4 separate regions of the Mus musculus genome follow, and regions 1, 3 and 4 are each reported to be linked to region 2. Evidence: microRNA targets listed by miRTarBase, many of them from high-throughput screens and not tested one by one. Region 2 holds a microRNA gene; each other region holds the end of a gene's coding sequence.

Region 1 (5,148 bases), not on the chromosome of region 2:
CTCAGAGATTCATCTGCCTCTGCTTCCCAAGTGCTGGGATTAAAGGCGTGCACCAGCACAGCTGGGCTTTTGTTGGGTGGTGGTGTGATGGGCGGTGCCTGTGGGTATCACAGGACAGGTTTATGGAATGCTGGAGTGCATCCCAGGAAAGCTGAGTGCTCTACACACTGGGTGGCACACAGCCCTGCTCATCCGAATCGAGCAGGTTGTGTCTTCTATGACACAGTGCAGAAATCTGCTGGGATTCAAGGGAAGAAGGACCTGGGGACTTCCCTGTAGTTTGGAATGTGACTTTTGGGTGGAGCTTGTGGGGTGGCCCCCACCTGGACTACCTGTGAAATGGATAGAAACCTTCAGACTCAGCAATCTGGAAGGCTCAGGTACTGAGTGGGGCCAGCAGGGGGGAGGAAAAGGCCATCATAAGCCAGCAGGGGTGGGGCCGGAAGGGGCGTCACCAACTTCAGGCAAAGGGCAGTTTAGGACTACTACTCTGACCTGTCTGTCATCCCCATGGCCCATGGCCCTATGACACCTGGCTGTGCACGTGATGCTCAATCCAAAGTATACCTGGTGCCTGCATTAGGTCACTTCACTTTCTTCTAAACCCAATCCTAGCTTCTTGCCTCTCAGATGAGAAAGGACAGATTCTGGCATCACGAACCAGCCATTCAGTTGTGCAGCACAGCTGGATGTATGGGTGTTTATAGTGAAATTCAAAGACACGGGAGCTTTCTGATCCTGAAGCAGCAGCTATAATCTCTCTCCCTCTCTCTCTCCCTTTCTTTCTTTCTTTCTTTTTTTTTTTTTTTAGACAGGGTTTCTGCGTAGCCCTGGCCATCCTGGTACTTGCTGTGTAAACCAGGCTGGCCTCAGACTCAGAGATCTGCGTGTGCCTGCCTCCTGAGTGCTGGGATTAAAGGGTTGCACCACGGTTTCCATCTGCTCTATACTTCTGACAGAAGAGACGAAAGGTCACATAGAGCCTGTTGGGGTGATTTTGGACTTTGCTGCTCTTTATAATGAATAACCACTCTGGTCTGTTTTGCCTTCCCTGTGAAGGGCTCACTTTTACATGTATGCACATATGTATGGATGTATTTAATGTGTGTAGGGGGCTCATATGTGAAGGGGAGAAACTTATGGGAGTGGATTGTTGCCTTCACCAACTGGGCAGGCTGTGCGTTCTATGCCTTTACACAGCTTGCTGCCCGGACTACAATTCAAAGCCCATTTAGTCATTTTTATTTTACGTATATGAGTTAGCCTGCATGTACCATGTGCGCGTGCCTGGTGCTGTGAGCTGCCATGTGAGCTCTGCAAACCAAATCTGGGTCCTCTGCAGGAACAGCAAATGTACTTAGCTACTGAGCCATCTCTCCAACCAACCCAAGACCCACATTTTACTACATTCCATTAAAAAAACTGTGTTTAGAGTTCAAGAACTCCTAGGCTAACTCATATACATAAAATAATAATGAATAAACGTGTTTTGAATTGTGGTGGTCTAGGAAACTGGCATAAAGGCATAGCACACCTGACACCAGAGAGATTCAACCTGAGGGAGTGGAATCTCTCCTTCCTCCACCTGGACTCTGCAAAGCAAACTCAGCCTGTCAGGCTTGGCAGCAAGTACCTGTAACTGCTAGGCTAGCTCTCTGGTCCCCAGGACACTTTTTTGAATTTGGAGACAAGTTCTCATCATGCAGTACTTGCTATGTACACTAAGCTACTATTGAATGCAGAGATCTTCCCACCCCTGCAGGGACTGGAAGCATGCATCACTCCGCCTGACTGTAGAACTCATGTTTAGTTTATGTGCTTTGCTATGTATATCTTGTGGGCTATATGCATGCAGTACCCCGAGGCAAGAAGTGGGCACTGAACCTCCTAGGACTGGAGGAACAAATGGTTGTGAGCCTGTGTGTGGGTGCTGGGAATTGAACTTAGATCCTCTGGAAGAGTACCCAGTGCTCTTAACTGCTCTCCAGTCCCTAGAACTCTTTTTTTTTTTTTTTTTTTTTTTTCTTGTTTTTTTGAGACAGGGTTTCTCTGAGTAGCCCTGGCTGTCCTCGAACTCAGAAATCTGCCTGCCTCTGCCACCCAAGTGCTGGGATTAAAGGTGTGCGCCACCACCGCCTGACTCCTAGAACTCTTTAATTTTTCCCCCAAGACAGCTTCTCTGTATTCCCTTCTTGTATAGCCCAGGCTGTCTTGAAACTTACTCTGTAGACCAGGTTGGCCTTGGAAGATAAATTCAAGAGCACTAGCTAGGTGGTACAGGCCTGCAATCTCAGCATTTGGGATCATCATGAGTTAACAGCAAGCTGCACCTCCATACCAAGTTTAAGGTCACCCTGGCCTACGTGAAACTGTCTCATAACAATATAAAGCAGCCTTGGTAGAACTTTAATCCCAGCACTTGAGAGGCAGAGGCAGGTGATCTCTGTGAGTTCAAGGCCTACTGGTCTCCACAGAGTTCCAGGACAGCCATGGCTACACAAGAGAAACTCTACCTTGAAAAACCGAAAATAAAGAAATGAATAAATCCACCAGCTTTTGCCTCCTGGGATTAAAGGTGTATACTATATGCCTGGCCCCAGAACAAATTTTTTGTTATTTTGAGACAGGGCCTATGAACCCTATGAATCTTGGAATTCACTATACAGGCCTTGAAATCGGAGATCTTTGCCTCTGCTGCCACACTCTCGGATCTTTCCCTCCTGGGAAGTCTCCTGTGGGGTTTGTTGTACAGTGTGTCTCTGTGGTATTCCTTGGCTCTAGACTTCCAGGAGACCTTTCTCTTCAGAGCTGTAAGACCTTGGGACAAACTTCCACCACTGGAGTGGAGTACAACACTTCTCTTGGAGTACAACACTTCCCCTTTCGCCTTAGAGCTGTCACACAACTGTGGCTCCCAAGGCAGCTGGTAGCTACGGATGGCCAAAGACTGAGCGGTAATGGAGAACTGGAGGGCAAAAGGGCTGCAGGCAGAACTGGGGCTTATAGGCACAGAACCAAGGCAAGTCCTACTTATTTATTTCAGTCTTCATTTAAAAGAATGCTTCTTTTTGAGATTGGAGAAATGGCTCAGTGGTGAAGAGTACTAACTGCTGTTGCAAAGGCCCAGGAACCCACACAGTTGCTCACAGCCTCATGTGACTCCAGTTCCAGATCCAATGCCCTCCCTTGACCTCTGTAGGCTCTAGGAATGTACTTGATACACACACACACACACACACACACACACACACACACACACACACATTCAGGCAAAACATTCACACAAAAATGTCTATAATTTAAAAAAGAATTATTTTACGTATGTATGTATATATACACATTCATATGTGAGGGCATGGGCATCGCATCGGGTAAGAGGGCAATACTGAATGTGGGCTCTGATTCATTTGAAGCAGGGTCTTGTCACTGCCTGGCATGCTAGTTGGAGCGCCTGGGGTTCCTCTTTGTGCCTTCATCTTAAGAGCACAGGACTGCAGGACTAAATTAGCCTGGCCCTGTGCCTGTGGCACTTTCGCCTATGGTACCATCTCCCCAGTGCAAGTCATGGACTGCCTCCGTGTGGATGTGTGTGTCCCGTGTATGTAATTCAGTGTGTGTACATCTGCACATGAGGGCCAGAGGTGGATGCTAGGCATCATCTTTGATTGCTTTCCACGTACACATTGAGGTGGAGGCTCTAACTTGAAGCTCACTGACTTGGCTTGTTTAGGGTGTGTGGGTGATGGGAATGCAAAACCCATACACCTGGCAAGGCAAGTACTTTGCCCATAAGTTAGACCCAGTTCCTAAAAGTCTTTCTTTCTTCTCTGTGGCCCCGGAGCCACTGCTGACAGCAAGGAGTCCAGGGAGCCAGTGGTGGCTTGTCATTGCTTTAATTTATTACTGTCTGACTCCAGTGACACTGACATACCCGCTGGGCCTGTGAGCCTCCTGGAGAGCTGGCCCTGTCCAGTAAGATACAGTACAAGGAGCGGCCGGCACGCGCATGCATCCACTGAGCTACAGTGACTGGGGCCTGGGGAGGTGGATGGTGCTCCCAGGAGGTCCCCTCTCTAGACAGTTAATGCTGGTAGAGACTCGAGGCCAGGCCAGGGCCGACAGACAGGCCTATACTTCTCTGCCTAAAAATGTGGAAGATTGCATGTGTACAGTTCTCCAAGTTCGAAACTACATCTGGTGCTACCCATCACTGCTAAGGGCTACTCCATCTTGGCTGGGACGAGCGCCTCGGGGTCAGGACTCAGGAATGTCTGGTTCAGTCTTCCTCACTGCCACTTCCTGAGCGGTCCTGAAAGAACAGGGGGAATAGTTTGTGAGTAGGCTGCGGCCTAGGCACTCTCCCTTGTCCATGGTGTTCTCAATGCTGTGGAAGGGCCTAGATCCTTAAGGGATAAATTATCTTACTGTGGCAAAAAAAAAAAAACTGCATCAAGGAGGCTGGCAAGACGACTCAGCAGTTAAGAGCACTGATTACTCTTCCAAAGGTCCTGGGTTCAAATCCCAGCAACCACATAGTGGCTCACAACCATCCTTAACGAGATCTGACTCCCTCTTCTGGAGTGTCTGAAGACAGCTACAGTATACTTACATATAATAAATAAATAAATGAATCTTTGAAAAAAAAAAAAAGAAAACTGCATCAAAACTTGGACCTTGCCCTGCACCATGGTAGGGACAGGCCAACATGGAACCCCATAAGAGGCAGCCACTCATTATAGCCATTCTTGAGTATGAACATGTCTTCTGACTGCCATTTTGGTCTAATAGAGCTCAGGCTGGCCTCAAACTTGCTAGGCAACCAAGGATGGTCATGAACGCCTCCTGATCTTCCGGCTTCTACCTCCCAAGGCCTGGGATCACGGGAGTTTACTACTATGCCTGCAGCCATTATCTTATTAAGAGTCATTTTTAGGGTTGGAGAGACGACTCAATAGCTAAGAAAACTGGCTGCTCTTACAAAGGACACGAATTCACTCCTGAGAACCCACATAGTGGGTGTTCACATAACACCCTGGAACTCCAGTTCCAGGGGATCCAATGCGTTCTTCTAGCCGCCACGATCACCAGGCACACAGTGGCACACATCCATACATGCAGGCAAAATAAACAAGAAAGCCCTCTAAAAAA
Region 2 (5,148 bases):
CTTTCTTTCTCTCTTTCTTCCTGTATTTTTGGGGTTTTTTTGTTTTGTTTTTTTGAGACAGGGTTTCTCTGTGTAGCCCTGGCTGTCCTGGAACTCACTCTGTAGACCAGGCTGGCCTTGAACTCAGAAATTCGCCTGCCTCTGCCTCCCAAGTACTGGGATTAAAGGCGTGCAAGAAACAAGAAACAAGAGTTTCTTGTTAGGTGGGGTAATGCAGAAATCCCAATTCCTAGGAAGGAGGCCTGAGTGTGGAAGTGGGGCTGGGGGTAGGAAAATGACAACTGGGTCTCAAAGCTCTGGTTTCACTAACAGACTTTCATGTCCTGGAGAACTTAGTCTTGAGGTGTGAATTAAAGTAAAGAAAGAAGAAAAGAGAAAAAGAGTGTAAGTACGATAGAGAAGAAGAGAGAAGAAAACAGAAGAGAAGAAGAAAACAAAATGTCTGAATTATATAGGGAAGAGCCTCTGGGGGGGCGGGGGAGGGCAGTCCAGCTCCTGGGCTAGAAAGTTCAAGGTTGGGGGCAGAGTATGCCAGGTAGGGACTGAGGAATGCTGGGAGAACCTGGAGGCCAGGTCTGCTTTGATGTGTAAAATACGCACCTCAGTCCTGCAGTCTAAACCAAACAAAGAATGCTCCTAGTGGGTAGAGAAGTGGTTTGTTTTTGTAGATAAAAGGGACAATTACAGGCAGGGGCAGGGGCAAGGACACCTAGGAGTCTCCAGAGTGGACATGACCAGCAGACTAAGCCAGGCATGAAGGAAAGGGGAACAAGAAAAAGAAGACAAGCCGGGCGTGGTGGCGTACCCCTTTAATCCCAGCACTCGGGAGGCTGAGGCAGGCGGATTTCTGAGTTCGAGGCCAGCCTGGTCTACAAAGTGAGTTCCAGGACAGCCAGGGCTACACAGAAAAACCCTGCCTTAAAAAACCAAAAAAAGAAAAGAAAAAGAAGACAAAAGAAAAAAGGAGCATCTAACCAAAAAGGTTGGCCTATATATGAACCAGAGAAGCTGCAGGAAGGGAAAGCCCAGCCTAGTTCCTTGGCTAGAGAAGTTCAGGGTAAAGGACAAGATATGTCAACAAGGAGGACCCTGTTAAAGGAACTGAGGGATGCTGCGAGAACATGGCAGCCTGCGGCTTCAACTTTGATAAAGGAATAGGCACCTCAGCCATTTGTCCTGGGTTTAAGACCTTACCAAGTTGAGTTCCCAACTCTTCCCCCTCCAGTTAGCTAAGCAGCCTCAAGGTTACCCCAACCTAGGAATGCAGCAGGAGGGGAAAGAGCCTTCAAGCACAGGAAGACAAACTGCACTGGCATACCCCAGCAGGTGCCAGCCCCCTTATCTGACACCTGTCAAAGGAGCCTGCAGCCTGAGCTCAAAAAGAAACAGGAGTCACCACTGCTAGGACAGACTTCATTCCCGCTCATCCATCCACCTGCCCATGTATCTGTCACATGTTCATCTACCAGTTTGCCCACTGCAGAGCATCACTGAGCAAACATCATCCCCCCAGAGTCTCCCAATTTAGGATCTCCCCAACACCTAACCCTCCAGGGTTTATTTCCCAATTCCAATCAGCCCATCAAGATCCCAGACACCAGTCCCATTTCCCCAAGGGGAGTAAGTGACAAGCAAAATCTGAAGGGTTCTATCCTCTTTCCCATCCCTGATGGTGTTGTTTGGCCCAGCCACAGTGACATTCATCCCCCGGTGGGTCTGGCTGCCTCCTCACAACCCACCGACAACAATGAATGTTAATTGTGACCTTTGCTGTGGCCTGAGGCAGGGGATGCTGCCTGGGGCTCTCCCGGGTCTACAGGGTGGGGATGGGGTAGACGGGTGGCAGTTCCAGGCCTCGGGGTCCACTCAACGGTCGATGGTTTGTCTGAGCTGCCCAAACTCACCGACAGGTTGAATGTTCCCCCAAACCCTTGGCAAGTTCTTGGATAACTGGAGTTGGGAGAGTAGGCCAGCAAGGCAGAGAGCATGTGGGACGAGAGAGAAACCAGGGTCCCCTTTGACTCACAAAATCAGCCATCAGTTATTCTTTTTTGGAGACTCAGAAGAAGCAGCACAAATACAAACCATAATGTAAAAAACGCAGCCCCTGCAACAGAGATGATAATGTGCCTGTCTCAATTCATGTGCTATATATATTCAAGGGATGCATTCACAACTGATATCTCAGCACTCTGGAGTCTGAGGGTTGGGATGGCCTTAGTAAGGTTACAGGCTAACCTGACCTAAAGAGTGAATTCCTGATGAGGGCTAAGTACTGTGATAAATAAAATCCTCCAAAGCATTTCTGAGAGATACAAATTCCCCTCACTGGTCAGTTGGAAAGACTGAGGCCAAAATACAAAGTGGGGATTTTCTAGCCACCATTCTGGGAACTCGGGTAGGTCATCAGGTTCTGGTCTGGGCCTGGGCTAGGCATAGGGCAACTGAGCCGTAAACAAGTTACTTTTATACAATGTAACAGGGCTTCTCCAGCAAACTTGAGATAAATAAGGCTTTCAATATATTGTAAACTTTTCCACCTTCCCATGGTCACTAAACTTAGTTTGACGGTTTCTGAGACCACCACTGCCCTACCCAGTAGAGCAGTGAGCTGTGAAAGAAGGCTATACACAGACACACCCCACCCCCACCCAAAGGCTTCTAAATGGTCGGGAGGGGGAGTGCGGGGGGGGGGGGGGAGGCTTCCCTTTTGCTTTAACTGAGCTCAGAACACCTCAGAGAGGGAGAGGTGACCCTCAAGGATCTCCTGAAGTCACACAAGACAGATCAAGAACACTAAATGTAGTAGTATGCTTGTGTGAAACTCCTGCAGGGTTAGCACCGGCCTGTGCAGTACCAGGCCACCACTGCAGACTTGCCCTCCAATTCAGGCCTTTGACAGGGTTCCCTATGGCCCTCCTACAAACCATCCCTTTTAGATCTAACGCCAAACTCAATCACCTGAGAGCTTAGGTCCTACCCCCTGCCTAGCACCTCAGTGTGGTTCCAGGGCACCCCTAGAAGTTCCCTAGAAGTTCAGCTCCTTTTAAGGGCCACCCCTACCTACAGACCCAAACCTGGCCCCTGGCTCCAGCAAGACTTAGGAAGCACTATCTCCCGGTAGAGCCCTAACCCTGCTTCCTCAGCCCAGGGCCCGGTAACTGGTCACATTCCCAGCCCCAGGGGCCCTCTCTTTCTGGCCATGGATTAAGAGGTCCTGCATGGGAAAGGCAGGTCTCCTGCTTTGGTAGCTCTCAGCCCTGAGGAAATAAAGGTCTAGACTGGTCAGATGAAGATGAGCTGGTCACAGGCGCTTTGCACAGACCACCACTGTGCCCCTGGGGAAGGGCCTGCTGCCAGTTCAGAACAGTTTTAGGGGGTTCCTGAAAGCTAAAATGGAGGATTATGAGGCACACGGGACACTCTGGGCAATGCGGGCCATCTTGCAGACACCCCTCTTTTATTCTGTAAGTCCACTTTGCTTACTTCCCCTGCAGAACTCTGATTTTTGTCCTTTACATAATGGGAGGTGTATGTTAGGGGTATTCACGGCAGGACAGCCTGCCTGTGGGAGTTTGGCGGGGGGCGTGGCATGGCGGAGGCGCCAGGCCCCACCCCCTCCTGTCTCTTTGTCTGCAGGCGTGGTGCGGGCTTCCCGCCCTCAGTGTCTGTCTGCGCTTGCCTGCCCTTTGTCAGCGGGGGTCGACTGTCTGGGTCTGCCTGCACCCTCCCTATGTGTCTGTCCTTCTTCTTCCCGGGGCTGCTCCTTGAGGTTTTTGGCAGCCAAGCCCCCTGGTGTGTGAGGATCAGAGTCTTGACCTGAATTCCTGCAGCTAGGGGCTGATCATTTACTTCCCGCCATGTGTTGGTCGGCCTAGAGTGCTTGGGCGGGAGGTCTGACTTTGAAGTCCCTTAGTGTAAGGGTGGGAAACTGTCTCCTTCCATCCCCCAACCCCAGGTCCAGAAGCAGGGGCACTGCAGCGCAGAAGTCAGCTTGGGAATGACCTAGGTGGAGCCTGCCCCAGTCTCTCTGAGCAGCTGGCAAGTCCTAGAGGTCAGGTTGAGGTGAAATGCCAATCCCAGCCAGATGGGGGTAGCTCTACCATCAAGTAAAAGATGGGTTAGCTGTCTGCTATATTGTGCCCTGTGGTCTGCAGTGTTCAGTGTGCAATACCTGTGTGTAAATCAGCTGGGCAGAAGGGAAGAGTAGGTAGGGCCTGGAAAACAGTCCATTATTGGGGGGATAGTGACAGGACAGGTGGGAATCTCCATAGGGTCACATTGGTGGCCCAGGTTGTCTAGACCTTATTATTATTATTAATTATTATTATTGCCATACTTACACGACTTCTGAGATACCCACCCTTCCCTCCTAATCTCAGGAGCTTCTCAGATACTCGGGTCTTTCAGGGGGCTGGGGAGTGGGGGGGGGGGAGCTCAGACAGGAGCTCCTATGTACTATAAGTAGGCCAAAAGCCCCAAATTTCCAGGCTGTCTGGATGTGAGGCCAGGCCTGCAGATGAGTGAGAGGGGTCTGGCTTCTCCTGGGTCAGGGGCTATGATCAAGGAAGTGATGGGAACTCCAGCTACTCCTCTGAACTTCTTTAACAAGGAGCAGAGCGGTCCTGGGTATGCATCACGGTGGGCTGTCTGCACAAACTCATTTGTCTGCTATATACACCTGTTAATGGATTGGAGTAGAGGTCTGCTCTAGACTACTCTGCTGCTAAAGGGAGCTCAGGGGGAGGGGAGGGGACTCTGGGGGGGGTGTACCATAGTTGGTGGCACCACTAGTGTATTAGTGTATATATGCCAATCCTATGGGCTTGTTTATGTGTGATGTCAACACTGTAGGTGGATGGGTGTGTCAAGCTCATTGTGTCCAATTGTGGTCTATGTGTGCACAGATGTATGTATGGATGCGGGGTTTGTCAAGAGTAACTGGGTGACTATAATCTGTCAGCTGATAAGGATGGTGTCTTTCAGGGCCAGTCTCCCACTCAAATACCAACTCTGTTAAGGCAGGGAATTCACTGTGAGTCATAGGTGTGTCCCATAATAACTGCTCAATAAGTGTTGCTGGACACAGTGGCTGTAGAGCCTATCACCTCTGTACCTGGCAGATGCAGGCCAATCTTAAAAAAAAAA
Region 3 (5,148 bases), not on the chromosome of region 2:
GAAGAAGCCGAGAGATCCCTCTGGGTCCAGAGCAGCCAAGATAGAATTTAGAGTTTAGTAAGTAATAACTCGGGATTATTAGCAGGAGGTGGATTCATTTCGTGGAGGTTGGGCAGTGGCCTAGGATAGAGCTGATTAAAGCATGTCAAAATATAAAGGCTGTGCGTGTGGGTCTTCCATTCTCGAATGTAAAGCGTTGAGGTGTGTAGCAAACCCGCTGCCAGGATCTATATAATATTTTATTCAACAGATTTAACTCTGTACAAAGTGGAATTTATTGGGAGGTAGGGAAGATTTGCTGACAGAATCAGATTCTGAGTAGTAGCTAAAATAAGCAGATCACTGTGAGGGAGGGTGTGTATTTTGGTTAGGACAAAGTGTTTTTATTCAAGATCAAATGTATTTGGTTCACCTTAACCAAAGGAAGAGTGAAGCACATTCCTGGTGCAGGTCATACAACTCCGTAGATTGCCTTAGCTGTTTGTATCTGTGTATAATTTACCAAGAAAGCAGACTCGGTTACTTTGGAGCAATTCTGTGATTGACCTGCCTTGCTTGGCTTCCCATGGTGCAACCCCAGCATCCAAATAAACTAACTATTAAGGAAAGCTTCATTTATTTACTTGATTAGTTAGTCTGTTTGAGACAGGGTTTCTCTGTGTAGCCTGGGCTGTCCTAGAACTCACTCTGTGGACCAGGCTGACCTCATATTCACAGAGATCCAGCTGCCTCCGCTTCTGCCTCTCGAGTGCTGGGATTAAAGGTGTGCACCCCCGTGCCTGGCAAGGCAAGCTATATTTTAACTCACTAGCTACGCTTGCTTGCCCTGGTGCTCTAGGGCTGTGGCAGAGCAGAGGTTGCAGAGCAAAACCTCATGTTGGATAGGAACCAAAAGAAAAAATCACCAAGGTTCCACTCTTCCCTTCAAAGGTTGTCAGTGCCCAGGTTACTTCTTCTTTCTTTAAAAAAAAAAAAATTATTTATTATTATATCTAAGTATACTGTAGCTATCTTCAGACACACCAGAAGAGGGTATCTGATCTCATTACGGATGGTTGTGAGCCACCATGTGATTGCTGGGATTTGAACTCAGGACCTTTGGAAGAGCAGTCAGTGCTCTTAACAGCTGAGCCATCTCTTCAGCCCAGTGCCCTAACTTCTATTAGGTTCCACTTTTTAAAGGTTTCTCCCACCAGCTAACCTTGACTAAGCCTTCAATCCATGCCCTTCAGGGGACATTTAAGATCCAAACCTGTGGGATATGGTGGCACAGGTATGGAATCCTCGTATTCAGAAGGCCAAAGCATAGGGTCAGAGCCATCCTGAGCTCCTACTAAGATTCAGATGCACAAAACAAATAAGATCTGAGCCATTACGCAGCTCAAAATGGCCACAGTTATGTCCAGCAGAGTCTAGCAGACGGCTCGGGATCCGGGTTCTCCTGTGAAGACTCAACAGGAAAAGAGTCTACTCCCAAATCCATCATTCACCAGCTAACCCGTTAACAGCCATTCAGCTTATCGCATTAGCCATTCCTGAGAACCTAATTACTAAGCTGGGTGTGGTTGGTCCAGAACCCAACACTTGGGAGATGGGAGCAAAAAGATGGAGAGTTCAAGGCCAACCTCACAGAAAGTTTGAGGCCAGCTGGGCTGCATGCACACACCCAAACCCACACACACACTTGACACTAAATGCCTATTCAAAAGGCAATATGGCTATATAAAGGCATGGGTAGCCAGAGCTGGCAATCATTGAAGTCTACTTACCATACTCACTAAAAAACTAAAAGTTTCCTCAACTTGACTTCCTTTAGTTGGACCTCAATAACTAATTGTTTTTTGTTTTGTTTTGTTTGTTTTTGGGGGTAGGGTCTCAGTGTGTCTGTGGGCTGGCCTGATATTCTCTATACATATCAAAGTGGCCTCAAACTCACAGAGATCCTCCTGTCTCTGCCTCCCTAGTACTGGGATTAAAGGCAGGCACACACAACCATCTCCAGCTTTTTTTTTTTTTTTTTTTTTGTATTTTTTTGTGGTTGTTATTTGTTTGTTTTTGAGACAGGGTGTCCCTCTGTATATGAGCTTGATCTCAAACTCATGGTACTCCTCCTACCTCGGGCTCCCACATCCTACGATTACAGGCTTGAGCTACCAAACCTGGCCTGATTTATAAATCTTGCAGAAACATATGCCCATGTGACTCCACTTCTAGGGTCCTCCAGTGCAAGTCAGGAGACCTGAAGCTTAAGCTATAGGAAACCATATGGATTCCGGGGGTTGAACTCAGGTGTCAGGCTTGGTGGTAAGCATCTTTACCTGCTGAGGCATCTTGCCAGCCTCAAGTTTGTATCTCATGTTAAAGAGGGGAAGGGTTCTCTCTGCTGATATGGCAGCTCATGCCTATAACGTCAGCAGTTGGGAGTTGGAGACAGGACGATTGAAAGAGTCTGAGGCCATCCTGGGCTATGCAGTAAGACCATGTCTCAAAAAACAATGTTTTTAGAGACAAAGGGGGAGCGTGGTGGAGAGAAACGCCCACCAAGCAGCAGTGTAGACACACCAGGTCTGTCTCCACTGCTTCTACCTACAACTCCTGGCCCACAGTCCCCTTGTCTCATTCCACAGCTGCTTCTTTCTTGTCACCTGGGTCAGATGTCATCTCCTCCAGGGTCTCCCTGTCTCCCCTCACCCCACACCAATCTGTCACGCCTTTGGAGAGTGTACTTTCTTTGTAACTAACGCTTTGTCCTAACTTCATCCTACCTACTAACGTGTTGATTTCAGAATGCACTCAAACTGGTATAGGACCTCTAAGGTGAAGGGCGCTTTTTACACTATCTTTTTCATCTCCCAGAACTGTGCCTGGCACATAAGAGGCGGTCAATGAGCAGGCACAGATTGGAATCAGACACTTGACTGGTCTGTTCCTTTGACTTTGTACTGTACCCTCTAACCAGCTACAACCACGGTGACCCTGCCCTGCCCTCTTCCCCAGCCTCCAACAACCCCAGCTGCAGCGCCTGTGGTCCACTTCAAACATGGCTCCCCTGAGAAGCTGTGCAGGAGCTGACACACTCCAGGCAGGCCTAGTATCTACTCTCTAAGCTCTAGTTCCAGTGGAGGCGACACCTGTTCTTAGCACTGGCGCATCCAGCACCCGGCCCCCACATAAAACTGTGTTTTTAGACCACTGCTCTTTCCAGCAACATTTATTGAGGGTTTCCCATGTGGCTGGCACTTTGCTGGATGAAAGCTGTGGACACACAAAGTGCCCTATTGCCTTCAAGTCCCCAGACTCATTACCCCTCCCATAGTCACCTAAGCAGTCTCCATCTGGGCAGGTTGTCATACATGAAGGAACAGTATTGCACAGTCCTGAAGATTTAGAAAGCCTTTGCCCAGGTCTGGGCCCCAAGCCCAGCAATTGTCTATTCTACTGCCTTTGCCTTCACCGCTCCAGCATCACACAGGGCAGGTTCTCTAGCAGAAACCGTGGTTGAGTCTGAGTAACACCATCAGCTCTCTACTCCCTCCTGGGTTCAGCCTTCTGCTTCTGAGAGGATCAGGATAGAAGAAGATCAGGATGGTTGCCAGCTGACCCAGGACCCAACTTGTTCTGCAGCCCGAGGCTGGCTGACATCATGATGACAATTCAAGTCGGGAGATGACACAGAGCAGACATGGATCACAGAGGTCAATGCCTGGGACAGGAAGAGGTCCACAGACTGCTGAGGATCTCAAATCCCAGTGGCTTAGTCCTCAGTGCCTTCCTTGCGGGCCACCAGCTGCTTCATAATACCAGCTTTCAACTGTCATAGAACCCAGAGACACCCGGGAGACCCTGAATCCATGGCTTGCATTCACGGTCCCAGTCCTTGGGCAAGCTATGCTCAGTACTCTTTTTTTAGATCTCAGGGCATATGGCTTTTTTTGGAGAAAATAAGAGGATAAATGTGAGATGATAGAGGAAAGGAAGTATTCAGTCACCAACAGGAGAGGGGAGAGGTGCGTTCTCTCTCTCTCTCTCTCTCTCTCTCTCTCTCTCTCACACACACACACACACACACACACCACATTCAGCACAGTTGCCTTCCTAGATACATATATACATGAACACACATGCACTCATATTCTCTGAGATGCACTCTGGATTCTTCTAGAAGAAAGGAAGTGGTTTAAAATGGGCAAAGAAAGTAGCCCTCAAACAGAAGTATTAGATTAATTTAATACTTCCTATACTCAAAAAGCAGGACCAGTGGCTTCTGTAAAACCAACAAGGGTGACTACTGCTCTCTTGAGCCCAAATCACCGTCTTCTCTGGCTGGATAGGTCCCATCCCATCCCTGTTGTCTACAGGACTACTTCAATGACGTCATTTCTCAATGCAATGCCCCTGCTTAATCTTCCTTGGTTGTGGACATACTTTGATACCCTCTGGCCGTGGCCTCAGCCTTGGCCACTCTGTACTCATCCCCTGTCTCCATTGGCAACACATTCGAGCCATCCCCATTCTTCCTTGTCGTGGGCTCAGATGGTCTTGTTTCATTAGCTGCTCTATCCCTATTGGTTGCCTCTAGAGGTAGTGTTTCCACTGACAGCAAGTAGATGGATGGATGGATGGATGGACGGTTGGACGGTTGGACAGATGGATGGATAGACTTTTTCTTCCCCATGCTGCTGCCAGTATCCCAATCTGTGCTCCTCCCTAGCCTGCCTTAAGGTTGAGGGGTGTCAGGAGTGCCTGAAGAGGGTCCTACAGCCTCAAGGAGCTTCTGGTGCTGGCGAAGATGCTTCCTCCTCTCGTGTTCTCCTGTGACTTCACACACCAGTTGGGCAGGGAAGGCTCCAGGAAGCCCCTTAAGCCAACCTGAAGAGGGGAGAAAGGTTTGTGTGGAGCAGGACCGAGGTCAGGTGATGGGGATGAGGGAGGGGGATCCTCAGGTCTCAGGTCCCAGGCTGGGGATTAGTGGAAAAGACCAGAGCATTCAACTTCAGTCACTAGTGCTCCTGGAAAGGCTATCAACATCCGTGAGGGTCTGTGTCACTTCTCTGCTGGGTCCTGCAGTGACTGCTCACGTCACTCAACTGGAAGAGCTTCTAAGCTTGAGAGCTGGCTCAGTGGTTAAGAGAAATTGGAGCTCTTCCA
Region 4 (5,148 bases), not on the chromosome of region 2:
TCAGGTCTATCATCCAAACAGGATAGAAAGACCCATTAGCAGGGAAACATCTGATAGTCACGAAAACAACATGGATGGCCCCATCTCTCTCATCAGACCAAAGAGTCGACCCCAGGAAAGAGAGGCCTCGCCCAGCAATAGCTGCCTCGATTCTACTGACTCAGAAAGTAGCCATGATGACCGCCAGTCCTACCAAGGAAACCCTGCCTTAAATCCCAAGAGGAAACAAAGCCCAGCTTACATGAAGGAGGATGTCAAGGCTTTGGATGCTACCAAGGCCCCCAAGGGCTCTCTGAAGGACATCTATAAGGTTTTCAATGGAGAAGGAGAACAGATAAGGGCCTTCAAGTGTGAGCACTGCCGAGTCCTTTTTCTAGACCATGTCATGTACACCATTCACATGGGTTGCCATGGCTACCGGGACCCACTGGAATGCAACATCTGTGGCTACAGAAGCCAGGACCGCTACGAATTTTCATCACACATTGTTCGAGGGGAGCACACATTCCACTAGGCCTTTTCATTCCAAAGGGGACCCCTATGAAGAACTGCACATGAAGAAATACTGCACTTACAGTCCCACCTTCCCTCGGATGGCGACATGCTGTCTTCTGGATGCTGTCACTGTCTATAATTCTTATTTTGTGGACAAAATGTCATTTGCTCTGCCTAACTACAATGAGGAAGAAACAAAAGAAAAGGGATGGGATGTTCAATGATAACTTGGCTTGTTTATTTCGTGAGCATTTAAAGCAGTTCATTGCAGCCATGCATCCTTGTTAAGGCCTATCATAATTTAGGAGATCATTCAGTTCATAGAGGTTCATCCAAGAGATTCTGATCTGCCATTCATATTCAGGATTGTGATAGAAGGCAGGAAAGTTGAGAGTTTTCTGGGTAGGATGCTTGGCAATTTAAAATGGTCTAAGTCATTTTACTCTCAAAGAAGTTTCAAAATGTAAACCGATTTTATTTTCTGTTCGTTAGAGATCATGGAACACAAAAACAATGTTATTTTCCATAACTACTAGGATGAGTTGAATTGTTGTGGGTTCTGTGTTTACCTCCCCTACGGAATTTATAATTGAGTATGTTTTACACTGTATCATATAGCAAAAATTTTAAACTACAGGTAGTCAAGGGCCGCTACGATACATCTGAGGTCCTTTGATCTTATTTTTCTAAACTTGGCGCACTGTTTTTCCATAGTTTTGATGACTGGCATTTTATAGACACCCTGGCAGCCTTACTTTTAACACCTGTAACAAATAGTATTTTTTATGTAGTTTTCAGAATAACATATGGTCTCAAGAGTGGGTAAGAGGCAGTCAGTAATTTCCAGGAAGAATTCTGCTTTTCACAATTTGAGATTTTTTTTTAAGCTGTAATATGATGGCAGCTTAGTATACATGTTTGCTTCTAAAGGTGTGTTTACGATCGTCACTTTATCAGCATTCAATCAGTGTTAACAAGTCAGCAGAAAAGTGTAATTAGGCGAACAGTAGGGGGAATTCCCACTCTAAGAACCCTTTTCTGGTATTTCTCTTCAAGCTGTGACCACTCAGTGTTCTGTCCACAGTCCATTCCTCTTTGACTCTTGGAATAGAAGGTCTTAAAAAGCCTTGCTAGCAGTTGCTTCTTTTAAAATCTTGGAGCAACTGTTAATTGGACCTGAAAGTGGTAACTTGAACCCTGGAAGGTCTTTTATTTACTAGGGCTATTTATTCCACTATTTCTTCAGTAATAAGAGTTACTACCTTTGCTGGAGACAAAAGGGAACTTCTTTGTTACCTGAATAACATAGTGCAGGTCAAACAAACAAGCAAAAAGTTTTCTTTCAGCCTTCCCGGAGTTGAGAATGTGACCATCTTTAGGAGAAGGTCCCGCACTTTAAAAATAAAAACAAAAAATCCAACTCTAGAGTTCCTTATCAGAAATGAATCTCAACCCCTTAGTCAAGAATTTTCTGTCGTCTCTTAATTTGCACGTGAGAAATACTTCCATATCTCATGCTCAGGTTTTAATCTGATCTTTGTGAGTTCTCAATTGTTTTTTTTTTTTTTTTTCTTTTTCTTTTCTGAACTTGACTTGCATTTGTGGGTAGGATTGGAGCACACTGTTATCAAGGCATTCGGGGGAATCAACTTGGCAGACATAACTTGCTGCTTGTGTTTGAGGAAAACAAACCTGACCATAACTGGATTATTTGACAGTCATTTGTAAATGCTGAGAGGTCTGCTGTGTGGTAACACATCGCTGCTCCAACAGTCCCTTGAGTGACATGCCCAAACCATGTCACTGCACTTTGCCTTGGGAAGTACCACGACTGGAGAAGTACCCACGGATGAGCAGTGTGCTCCGAACTCGCTTTGCAGGTTTCTGTCTGATCATTTAAGGAACTTCTTAGCTCTTCCATAGCCAGAGCGAGGTAGTTCTGACTTGCCTCTTTTACTAATCCTTATCTTAGTTCTTTCTGGAGAAATATCCAACTGGTTCCTTAACATGTAAGAGAATGCACCAAACCAGAGCTATATCAAATGCCAATTGTTGGTTTTGTTTTTTTTTTTTTGGCGGGGGGGGGGGGGGGGGTTGTATCCCTTGGTACATTTTAAAAACATAGCTTCCTCGGGGATGAAACATCTCATCATGCCTTCCCTATCCCCACTTACCCTACACACTCTGGAATCACAGTGAAAAGGATATTTATTTCTGAATGAGGTAAATAAGTTTAAGGCTCCTGACTTCTTTGTTTTAACTGCAACTTGAGGAAGCATCTGGATGTCTGTCAGTGTGTCCCTTTCGGCTCTTTGTGAACACCTGCAGGCATCTGCTATCTCTTCCTTCTCTCTGCTAGCACCTGCTCTATTAACAATCATGTACCTACCTGCCCTGGGATGACACTGAATTTAGGTGTACTGGAAGAGTTGTGTCCTTCCCCTACGAAGGTGGTACCGATGTGCTCTGCCTTTCTGATCCCATTTTATTGGAAAACCTGATGTACTCAAAGGCGTGAACTATAAGGGTAGATTGGCTGTACATATGCACTTAGCCTTTTCTTTCTTTTTCAGCTGCATGGCACAAGATACAGAAAAAAAAGTAGATAGCTCTGCTGTGACAGGGACAAATGGGGACAAGCTGAATTCAAGATTTGTGGGTTACGATAAACTTTGTGGACATAGTGCTGTCTGAGGGACCCTCAATGACTGTATTTGCCTCTTTTTCACCAAAGAGAATAGGAGACATGGTAGCACCTAAAAATAGGTATGAAGGCCAGATACCAAATAAATCAAATTTACATAACCGTTACAAGACCAGTTTATTTAGGTGACATTTTACAGTTGAGAGAGAATTTGAGGGGCACGAAAATGGGTTATCCTCTGTGTTTTCCAGTTTGTCAGGAATTTATCAGATGGCTCTGCCCTAATTTTGCCCAGATTTTTTTTTTTTTATCACCAGTTCCTTCTGGAGAAACATGCTGCGTCTCTATAGTAGTGATTGATTGCTTGTTATAAAGGCTTTTTAGAACAGTGAGAGCCGCCAGCCCAATGAGCGGTAGAGGGAAGTGTGAAACACTGTCATTCAAACATTCCGTTAATAATTCTCTGGATAAAATGGGGATGTGAGGGCCAACCATTAAGATTTAGAATGAAGTTGGCTGCCTGGCTGGCATACATACAGGTCAGTGTTTGAATGCAGTACAGTTTGCATGCACATGCATATTGCACATTCTTTTAATGAAAATTCACAGAAAAGAAGCAATTAGCATTGCCAGTTGTATTACAAAAGCTTAGAGTTAGAAGTACAGTACAGTTACTACGCCAGCAGTTGGGTCTAATTCAGCAGGTTGTATTAAGAAAGCCCCATGTTGTCAGTGTGTCTTTAAGGCTAATGGCAATTTAAATCACAAATCTCCATTGTCTGCATCCAGAAAAACAAACAAAGCAAGGCAAAAAACAATGAAACAATGAAAAGATATTGAGTTGACTGGAGAATATTTGAAGAAATATAGATTTTTTTTGTGAGAGGAAGAAGTTGCAGGAAGTAATTTAGCAACCTTGGCTTGTGTTTGTGCTTCTCTGACCCAGTTGCACACCTCACAAGTTTGGTCTTTCCAAACCTTCATCTTCTCTCCTAAATGACAAGTTAGGGTAGAAAGATTCATGGAAGAGGCTGGAGAGGACAAGGAGAGCTGTCTGCCCCTAGATTCAGGACTGCGCCTTACACTGTCCAAGTCACCTGCCACATACTGTCTTAGCCTTGAAATTGTAGATTGGTGGTGATCGTCAGTTGTACTTCATGTTATTTTAATAACTACTGTCTGTATAATTATTCTACAGCAAAAGCTCCCCCAAATCCAAAAGGGGAAAAAAGTGAGGGATGAATTGAAACTTTGTATATATAAAAGTTATTTTATAAATGTTTTAGTCTTCCAGTTTCTGCAAAATAATTAAAATATACAGTAACTGGTCTCTTAAACCCTGAACTTAATGTATTAAATACTTATAAAATTTTATATTGGTGCCTTTTAAAAATGCATTGAGAGTGTTGGTTAGCTCTTTAGCTCTACCACACTTTTACTGTGTATTTTTTAAGAAAAAAAAAAATCACATAAAATCTAAGTACTCTCTAATTCACCTTTGTGTTCTTAGAAGAAGAAGAAAAAAACTGCTAAAAGAATTTCCAGACTTTTAGCTGAGCTGGCAAAAGTGACAAAAAAAAAAAAAAAAAAAACAAACTTTGAAACCAGATTTTAATCTTTTTAGCTTGATGATATTTCTGGACATTATTCTATGGTAGAGGCAAAATAGAAGGTAGACTCACATATCAGCAATGAATTGGATTATGCTATATGTTTTGATTTCTTCTTGAGGAAGAATATGTTTTGCATCACACAGGGGTTTCTTTGTATAATTTGGAGTCAGTAATTACAGTATTGCTTTGCTTTGTTTTAAATACCCGACTGATGTTACTCTAGTCTTGGGTCTTCTGTCTCTTCTGTCTTCTAACCTGTGGTTGTTTTGTGAAATGGCGTGGGAATGCAGATCATTGTCTCCTCTTGAACAAGACAAAGCTCAGCACACTAGTCCCGTGACTGGTCTCCAAAATGTCATCTCAGATGTGTAGTCTGGGGTCGTCTGTCACTTCTAA

What was found. Region 2 holds the annotated microRNA mmu-miR-181c-5p (AACAUUCAACCUGUCGGUGAGU, at 1,899-1,920, opposite strand). A microRNA usually pairs through its seed, bases 2 to 8, with sites in the 3' UTR of a target mRNA and lowers its output. Matches are read on the target gene's strand: a 7mer-m8 pairs with bases 2 to 8, a 7mer-A1 pairs with bases 2 to 7 and ends in A, and an 8mer does both.
Region 1: miRTarBase lists Smarca4 as a target of mmu-miR-181c-5p. Seed matches in the 3' UTR shown: 7mer-m8 at 3,338-3,344, 7mer-m8 at 3,275-3,281 and 7mer-m8 at 3,262-3,268.
Region 3: the mRNA of Arhgef15 is a reported target of mmu-miR-181c-5p. Seed matches in the 3' UTR shown: 7mer-m8 at 4,075-4,081.
Region 4: miRTarBase lists Ikzf2 as a target of mmu-miR-181c-5p. The part of its 3' UTR that is shown has no 7-base or 8-base seed match.

The regions. Positions count from the first base shown.
Region 1 is chr9:21,702,097-21,707,244 of GRCm38, reverse strand. It overlaps Smarca4 (SWI/SNF related, matrix associated, actin dependent regulator of chromatin, subfamily a, member 4), which reads right to left. Exons shown (of 34, transcript NM_001174078.1): 34 at 3,015-4,309. The coding sequence ends at 4,277. Among named protein-coding and RNA genes, the nearest start is that of Gm26511, 19 kb to the left of the region's middle.
Region 2 is chr8:84,177,026-84,182,173 of GRCm38, forward strand. It overlaps Mir181c (microRNA 181c), which reads right to left and starts at 1,936; the gene lies at 1,848-1,936. It overlaps Mir181d (microRNA 181d), which reads right to left and starts at 1,762; the gene lies at 1,691-1,762.
Region 3 is chr11:68,939,961-68,945,108 of GRCm38, forward strand. It overlaps Arhgef15 (Rho guanine nucleotide exchange factor (GEF) 15), which reads right to left. Exons shown (of 16, transcript NM_177566.4): 16 at 3,194-4,869. The coding sequence ends at 4,718. Among named protein-coding and RNA genes, the nearest start is that of Gm51902, 12 kb to the left of the region's middle.
Region 4 is chr1:69,534,134-69,539,281 of GRCm38, reverse strand. Ikzf2 (IKAROS family zinc finger 2) reads left to right here. Exons shown (of 8, transcript NM_011770.4): 8 at 1-5,148. The coding sequence ends at 514. Among named protein-coding and RNA genes, the nearest start is that of Gm28497, 110 kb to the right of the region's middle.